Linked DNA regions of Schizosaccharomyces pombe. The protein of the gene in region 1 purifies or fractionates together with the protein of each later gene. This does not show direct contact. Each region holds a gene or a part of one and is shown on either strand. Other genes may lie near its edges.

What was found.
Region 2: the proteins of tif307 (region 1) and sum1 purify together in Schizosaccharomyces pombe (affinity purification with western blotting, with the first as the bait; one study listed by BioGRID). This does not show direct contact.

What each region holds. Positions count from the first base shown.
Region 1 is NC_003423.3:1,770,795-1,775,160, reverse strand, and holds tif307 (translation initiation factor eIF3g), read right to left. Parts: upstream 2,159-4,366; 5' UTR 2,139-2,158; coding exon 2,128-2,138; exon of another isoform or gene 2,087-2,127; coding exon 1,249-2,086; 3' UTR 614-1,248; downstream 1-613. Other genes in the region: long-chain-fatty-acid-CoA ligase Lcf1, read right to left, coding at 2,912-4,366.
Region 2 is NC_003424.3:5,356,773-5,361,046, forward strand, and holds sum1 (translation initiation factor eIF3i), read left to right. Parts: upstream 1-2,151; 5' UTR 2,152-2,183; coding exon 2,184-2,246; exon of another isoform or gene 2,247-2,301; coding exon 2,302-2,422; exon of another isoform or gene 2,423-2,778; coding exon 2,779-3,581; 3' UTR 3,582-3,732; downstream 3,733-4,274. Other genes in the region: F-box/WD repeat protein Pop2, read left to right, coding at 1-470; rer2 (cis-prenyltransferase), read right to left, coding at 620-730, 786-1,002, 1,049-1,308, 1,421-1,627; met8 (siroheme synthase), read right to left, coding at 3,800-4,274. UniProt on the Schizosaccharomyces pombe protein: Component of the eukaryotic translation initiation factor 3 (eIF-3) complex, which is involved in protein synthesis of a specialized repertoire of mRNAs and, together with other initiation factors, stimulates binding of mRNA and methionyl-tRNAi to the 40S ribosome.

The DNA.
Region 1 (4,366 bases):
TTGCACTTATATGTCGATGTATGTTTGTTTTTTGTCATGTAATTAATAGTAGTATATATTACTTTGCCGTCTTAGCAAAGATTAATGGTCATTAAAAGTCAATACTATCGTATGAAGTGAACCAGCTATTTCAACGGATATGAGAGTTATATTGTTAAATCTTTATGACAAATGTGTTCTTAAAACTTGCTATGCCTTTGAACACAGGATAAAAACTTATAAAAAATATGACCCCTAAGTGACTTGAACACTTGACTTTGAGATTTGGAATCTCACACTCTACCAACTGAGTTAAGGGGCCTTCGCTTGATCTCATAAATATTTAATATTATAGATATTAAAAAAAAGAATGTACAGCATAAGTTGTAATAATGAAAGTCGAATTGGTAAAGTCAAAACTGCTTAAGTAGTCAGTTGAAAAAATTAGCTTTTCTTTCAGCTTAACCTAGAAAGCCTTGGTGTAATTAATGAAGACACAAACGAGAAAGTTGCTTCAAATTACAACATTAATGGATTTTGCGAATCCTTACACTCTCCATGTAGCACTACATGCTGAAAAAATAACAAATGGTTTTGGAGCAGTTATAACAATGGAGTACAAAAAAATTTTCTAAAATAGTTAAAATTAGTCAGTTTAAAAACCCTTATTTTTTCTTAACTCGTCAAGTACACCAGCAATCTAATTTCGCGCGTAAAAATTTGTTTCACAATCTGAAAAAAAAGGTACCAAAAGACCAATCATCAAGGCAAGTGTACAGCTTTAAACCATTCATGATATTGCTACAAAATACTAAAAGTTATTTCAAAAATTTTTCAGAGGCAACCATTTCAAATATAAAAAGTATAAAGAGGAAAAGAAAACAAACGATAAGTAAATGAAACCTAATTTTATTCTTTTAAATAGCAAAAGCAGAGGAACAAAACGTAAGGATCCTTTCCAATTTAGCATAGATTTATGAGACATACCATGGGACGATCACTACGCAGATACAACCCCAAAAAAGGAAATTTTAGCATTCTACCAAACCCAATGCAATTAGGGATAATAGAGCCTGAACAATGTCAAGCATTAAAAAGTATAACATATGAAAGCTCTCAGAAACGGGTAAGGTGGTTAAGACAATCCGAGGGATTAGACTGAATACATGGGTGAAAATAAGGGAACGATTTATGGAAGAAAAAAGAAAATTTTTTATATACGTAGACCTTTATCCAATTTCAAGAAATTTTTATATAATTAAAAGAAACTTAATCTCGAGGCTTGGAGAATTCACATCGTAAAATCAAATTGTTCCAACCGTAACCATCCAAGCGATCACGAGCCTTGATAGCACAATCTCTATCGTAATAACTGACAAAGGCAAAACCTTTAGCACGACCAGTTTCCTTATCCTTTGCCAAATATACACGTTGAATACCACCAAAGCGACGGAACAAATCACGAAGTTCCTCTTCACGGGTATCATCAGATAAGTTAGTGACACGAAGAGTGGCACTATCATCACGTTCACGTTTGAACATAGAATCACCACTCTCACGCCCTGAGCCAGCACGAAGATGAGGAGCTATATAACGACCCTTTTCGCCCAAGGCACCACTAGCCCTTGAAGAAACAGGACTAGCATCCAAGGGAGGCTCATCAACAGGTCCAATAATGCTCTTGTAAGGACATTGAGCGGTAAAATGGTTACCCTTACAAGCACGACAACGAACCACAGAGCTACCCTTTGCCTTAACCTTAGCGGCAGCCAAAGCAGCCTCATCTTGCTCCTCTTCCTTCGTAGTAGTCCAACCAAGTTGAAGTCTTAACTGAACATTTTCGCCAACACTAGTGGTTCTAGCATCAACACCACTGTTCTTGCCTGCTTCCTTTCCGAATTTTTTCCATTTCTTACGCTCCGCCACAGCGTGTTGCACCCGCTCCGTAATAACGGTTTTCCGTATAACTCTGGTAACCTTCACCTTTTTGCCATTATCATCAATGCGAAATTCAATCATGGTTTTTGTGCCATCGGGATTATCAAACGTCTGAATCGAAGGCAATCCAGTACCATAGTCCTCATCGTCAGCCCAATCCAGTGATTTCCTACTTTGTTAGTTTCTTTCACAAAAAAATATATTACATACGATGAACTCATTTTATAGACAAAAGATGTTTGAAGAGGGTGAGCCCTTCATCACCAGAAAATTTGTTGTAGTGTTGAATTAACATACATTAGTAGAAGTTTGATATACCAACATAGCAGTCTACGTTGCAGTACACTACTTGAACTTTTCTTAAAAAGGAGATGATACCTTGCGACTAAATTAGTTTAAGCTTTCTGTTGCTACTATTAGAAAAAGCGGATGAAATTGTGGATTTCAAATTGAAGGGATCGTTAATAACCAGGACAAACTTCGCACCGGTCATCTCAATTCAATCGTCAGTTGAAGCCATAATCTGCAGATCTCTATTACCGATCACTATAAATAGCCAGGTTTTGCAATACCATCATCTTCTATTATTCTGTACAAAGCTCTTTAAAAAATTTCTCAATTCCCGTTAATATAGATATTATCAAAATACAAAATAAAAAAATAAAAACCCAGCATCATTGAACTGGGTATAAGAACATCTAGCTAAAACACTATAATCATACCCGGATGGGAATTTGGTGCATTCATAAATCTAGCATTCATGATTAAATAAGGACAAATGTTTTGTTGTAATAAGAGAAAATGCTCTGAAAAAAAGAAAAGGAATTCCCAAAGGACTTAACAAATCTAAGTTAAAGTCCTTAGCACCAACCAAGGCGGCTGATTACTTATAGCGTTGCAAATTTGAGGTGTCATACCAACTAAAGGAGAATGTCGAGGTAAATATATAAAAGACTAAAGGCAAATATCCTGCAAACATTTTATCTAAATGACTTTACTCGGCGTAAGCGGCGTCAATTTCCTTCTTGAAACGATCCAAAATTTTGCGACGCTGTAATTTCTGAGCTGCAGTCACCAATCCATTTTCGGGTGTAAACTCAATGGGAACAAGGACGACGTTTTGAATAAGTTCGATATTAGCGAAATGATGACTACGACCAATACGAATAAGGTCGTCATAAACAAGTTGACGAACTTTCTTGTTATGACAAACTTCCTCCCAAGAGGCATCAGGACTAAGACCGGCTTGTTCAGTGGCAAGTTTACGAACGACGGGCTCGTTGGGAACGATGATTGCCAAAGGCTTCACCTTGGTCTGATCTGCATATACACAGATATTCGAAACAAGACTGCTCGTACGATAGCGAGATTCAAGCTTCTCCAGTGCAATATACTCGCCATTTTGAGTTTTGACGAGGTTTTTCTTACGATCAATAATTCTAAGCAATCCTTCTGGAGTCAATTCGCCAACATCACCAGTACGGAACCAACCATCTGGAGTAAAGCTTTCTTTATTTTCTTTATCACGGTTAAGATATCCCCGAGTCAAAGAGGGACCACGAAGCCAGATTTCACCACGAGGAGGGTGTCCGTGAGAGTTGTAGTTGCCCTCTTCACAGTCAACTAACTTCATCTCAGTACAAGGCAAAAGAGATCCAGCTGAATCGTCCAAATTGAAACAAGCAGGGTTCTGAACCATAGCAGCTGCACTAATTTCGGTCAAACCATAACCGATTAACATAGGACAGAGAACGATAGAAAGGAAGCGCTTGGTGTCAGGAGATAAGGCAGAACCACCAGATAAAGTGTATCTTAAACGACCACCGGTTCCCATAGATCTAATTTTATTGAATACAGCGGTATCCAATACGCAAGAACCGGGAAGATTGTGACGCATCAACTTTGCTTTAGTGTAATAAGCAGTCCAAAAAACTGAACGCTTAACAGCAGAGGCAGCGTTTAATTTACTCATGATACCCTTACGTACCATTTCCCATACAGCGGGAACACCAACCATGATAGTGGGACGGAAGGTATTGATATCACCCTTGCAGTTTCTGCAATTAGTATCGACCAAAGTACGGACGTTGGCATAGCCAATGGTACCACCCCAAGCCAAACAAATGTTTTCAAACGCAAATTCGAGAATGTGTGCCAATGGAAGGTAGGCCAAAAGATAATCTTTAGAGGTAACTTCAGGAACGTGCTTGACAATAGCAGTGACAATTGCAACCATGTTCTTGTGACTCAAAATTACACCCTTAGGTAAACCGGTACTACCAGAAGTGTACATAATACAGCAGATCTCTTCAGGTGAAGGTGGATCAGGCTCAACGGGAGGAGACATTTTCTCAAAATCAGCAAATTTAATCAATTTGAGGTTAGGACGAATCTCCTGAATTGTCTTTATGTCCTCCTCCTTGGCATCGTTGCGGTAGATGATTACTTC
Region 2 (4,274 bases), on another chromosome or scaffold:
TTCGTATATATAGTGTTTTATATGAACCAGAAAGGAATATTTGCATAAGCGGTAGCATGGATAAGTCCATTAGGGTTTGGGATTTATCGACAGGGACTTGTAAATATGTGCTTGAAGGCCATGATGCCTTTGTTACGCTTCTTAATGTATTCCAGAATAGGTTGATATCAGGTTCTGCTGACTCCACAATTAGAATATGGGATTTGAATACTGGGAAACCATTAATGGTTTTGCCGTCTAATTCAGGCTACATTAGTAGCTTTGTGTCAGATGAACACAAAATTATTAGTGGTAATGATGGTTCTGTAAAGTTATGGGATGTTAGGACTGGAAAGCTGTTACGTTTTCTATTAACAGACCTCACAAAAATATGGCATGTCGATTTTGATGCTATGCGTTGTGTGGCTGCAGTGCAGCGTGATGATCAAGCATATTTGGAAGTTATTAATTTTTCCGGATCAAGACCGTAGAAAGTTTCATTTTAACAATATTTAAGAAGACATAATTAGAGTAGTGTCTAACTATTTACATCAGCTACTAACACATATTAAATGTATACAATGTAAAATTAACAGCCAAAGCCTATCAAAAGTAAATAAGTAACGAAGGATTGAATAAATTATGCTGGTTGGTTTTGTAACTGGTATTGAATTAACATTGGGAAAAACTTCCAGATAGAAAAATCCGGCCAGTAGAAATCGATGAATTTTATCTCCGTATTTTTGTGACACTGATAAAATTAGTTGAATATCTTTGACTAGAAAATTAGGAGAATTTTTACTTACCTGCCATAACATAAAATCAGATAGACGCTCCACACCGCTAGTGCGAATCAACAAGTCTAAAGGAAGACTATCTTTTATCAATAGGTTTTTTTCAAATATATCTTCATCTATATCTTCTGGAGTGATTGTACCATCTTCTGCCATTTTTACTATTGATTGCACAGAAGTAGCAATTTCATGTCGAGAAGTGTATGGAAAGCAAACATTTAATGTTGCCCTAAGATGTCAATTAGCAAAATAAAAATTTGAAAAATTTCACATACTTTGTGTTATGTTTTGTAATTTCCACAGCCTTTAGAGCAGTTTCTAAAACGTCAGGTTGCAACCTGCTAAGATCGCCAACAATGCGAATACGGATCCCATACTGATCAACCAAATCACCATGAGCAGTAATTTGCGTTAAGCTGTTTTTTGCAATCTCCATTAACATATCAACTTCATATTTAGATCGCTTAAAATTTTCAATGGAGAATGTGAAAGCCGATACTTCTTTAACTCCTAACTTCAGACACACTTTTAATAGCTTACGCAGGGTTAGTTAATGTACCAAATTGTGCAGAACGTAGACGGATACCAATGCGCAAAACATGGAGAAACGGTACGTTTAACCTTCTATTAATGTTCTTTAAACTTACAGATTTTAAAGCTTCAAAACCTGAGCTATGACCCTCGATAGTTTCCATCCTTCTTTGACGAGCCCACCGTCGATTGCCATCCATTACAAAGGCTATGTGTTGTGGTACTTTGCCACGTTTAATTGTATTTATCATCATCGTTTCTAATTGATCAAGTGTCCATTGTAATGGAGGACAGTGAATAAACCAGCCTGATAAATTACCCATATTGTCAAGATATTTTGTCAATTCTTTTCTTTTCCTTTATAAATGCACGCTAAATATCAAAGAGAAATAATTATCTTGATAAACAATTATTTTCAAAAAACGATTAGATGTTTTTGACGCTTCTATAAAACACTCAGGTTATCCGGTTCTAGATATGTTTTATAAGTATAATTACCAAGCACGCTAGAAAAGGATTTTTAGCTAAGGAAATATACTTTCAATCGTAAACGAATGGAACAAAGAGACGCTAGTTTAAGACCAAACGCTTTTGTATTTTTTTTTAAAAATCACGAAAGAAATATTATTTTTTGTACAAATAAGTAAGACAGACAAAATTCAAACAAAACCACAAAATACTGTTTTCAAAGTGAGACGTGCGACCTTTGGGTCTAACTAGTCTAACGCAAGTGTCTCAGAAATGAAGCCAGTTCATTTAAGAGTGTCGTTAAGCCTCCTTATTTTTAATACCATCCTTAAGTTACGCTAATTAGAATCAAAATATTACAACTAAAGACTTTTCGCTCAAACCCTCTACCAGCACTTTCCTGTTCAAAAGATGAGGCCTATCATTTTACAGGGTCATGAGCGTCCTTTGACTCAAATAAAATATAATCACGATGTAGGTTTAATAACCGTCCATTATATGTGGAAAATTTACTAATTTTTGTGTGTAGGGTGATTTATTATTCTCATGTGCCAAGGATAAAGTGATTAATGTCTGGTTTTCACACAATGGTGAACGCCTAGGTACATATGAGGGTCATACTGGTGCAATTTGGACTTGTGATATTAATAGTACGTGAAAATTGGTGGTGATGTATGTTGGATTAAGACATCTAAAGGTATACGGATTATGGAAGTATAAGGAAACACGAATAATGAAACATATCATGACTCTAATAAATGTATTTTTTTTATTAGTCGTCCGATTGCAGATGGTTATACTCGTGATCCACGATTCTGAGTTGGCGTAGTACTTAAAGTTAAATATGCATGGTGCATCTCCTTTACTTATATTAATGCTACGTTTACCTCACTTCACTTCCTCGTGGAAAGCATTTAAACTTCTTTTAAATCCTTTTCCTTCTTCTTGATGCCTCAAATCCAACTAGATCATCTGTTCCTTTTCCAATGGTTACTAACTGAAACAGAAAGTAGCACTTTAATGGTTAGTGGAGCCGCTGACAATACCATGCGTCTTTGGGATGTTAAAACAGGAAAGCAGTTGTACAAGTGGGAATTTCCTACTGCTGTCAAACGTGTTGAGTTCAACGAAGATGATACCCGTATTCTTGCTGTTACCGAGGAACGTATGGGTTATGCTGGTACCGTCACTGTTTTCCGTGTTCCTATTTCGGAAAGCGATGCCGCTGCTGAAACCCCCCTTTACGTTATTACTACTCGTGAATCTAAAGCAACGGTCGCTGGATGGTCTTACTTGAGCAAGTTTCTCTTTACTGGTCATGAAGATGGCTCCGTTTCCAGATACGATGCTATAACCGGAGAATTCGTTGAATCTAAACAAGTTCATAATTCTGGTTCTACTATTACTGATCTTCAGTTTTATCCTGATCGTACTTACTTCATCACTTCTTGCAAGGATACGACTGCTAAAGCTATTGATGTTGATTCTTTTGAAGTCATCAAAACATACCTTACTGATACGCCTCTTAATACTTCTAGTTTTACTCCTGTCCAAGACTTCGTTATTTTAGGAGGTGGTCAAGAAGCCCGTGATGTTACTACTACTGCTGCTAGACAGGGTAAATTTGAAGCACGTTTTTATCATGCGATTTTAGAAGAAGAGTTAGGCCGCGTTAAGGGTCATTTCGGTCCTATCAACACAATAGCTGTCCATCCCAAAGGAACCGGTTATGCTAGTGGTGGAGAAGATGGTTATGTTCGGGTGCACTTCTTCGATAAAAACTACTTTGACTTCAAGTATACATTGTAGGTTAATTTTATTCAAAAAACTGTTGATAGTATAGTAATGGACAACGGAACTTTTTTCCAAAGATGTATCATTTTCGTTTAGGGAGCATTATATGAAAAATAACCTTCTATGAGTACAAGAGTTTTTTAATAAATTCCATTCAAAATTCAAATGTTTTAAAGTGAAAAGTAATGTAATTGTCATATTCCGTAAAGCAACTAACTTATCAAACGCTTCTTTTAACGAGCTTTTGAAACATGTTTGAGGAGAACAGCCCCAGAAATTATAATTGCTCCAAACCATATGTAGTTGTCTATCTTGCTGTAGGCTGGAGTCGTTATTTCTCGATAACTAGGTGTTTTTTTTGGGAAGTATCCCAAAAGTCGGTTGATGAGATTTTCGTCGAGCATGGCAAGTTCCTCCAAAGACCACAGTTCGCAAATCTCAATCATCCATCTCATTCTTTTGCGACTGTTTTCAGGTTCGGGAACAATGTCTCGTAATTTTTGTCGTAAAAGGCCAGTTTTTTCCAATGCCATACCAGTAGCTGGATTGATTGAACTTTCGATTTTTTTTCGTATTAAACTGGCAAGTTTTGGACCTTTACCATTGGTGCTAACCATAATTTGTAGAGGGCCGTTACGGATTTCAGACCCAAAGTAGAAATCACATTCAGGTGGAATATCCGCCGCATTGACCGGGATTTTTTTGCTT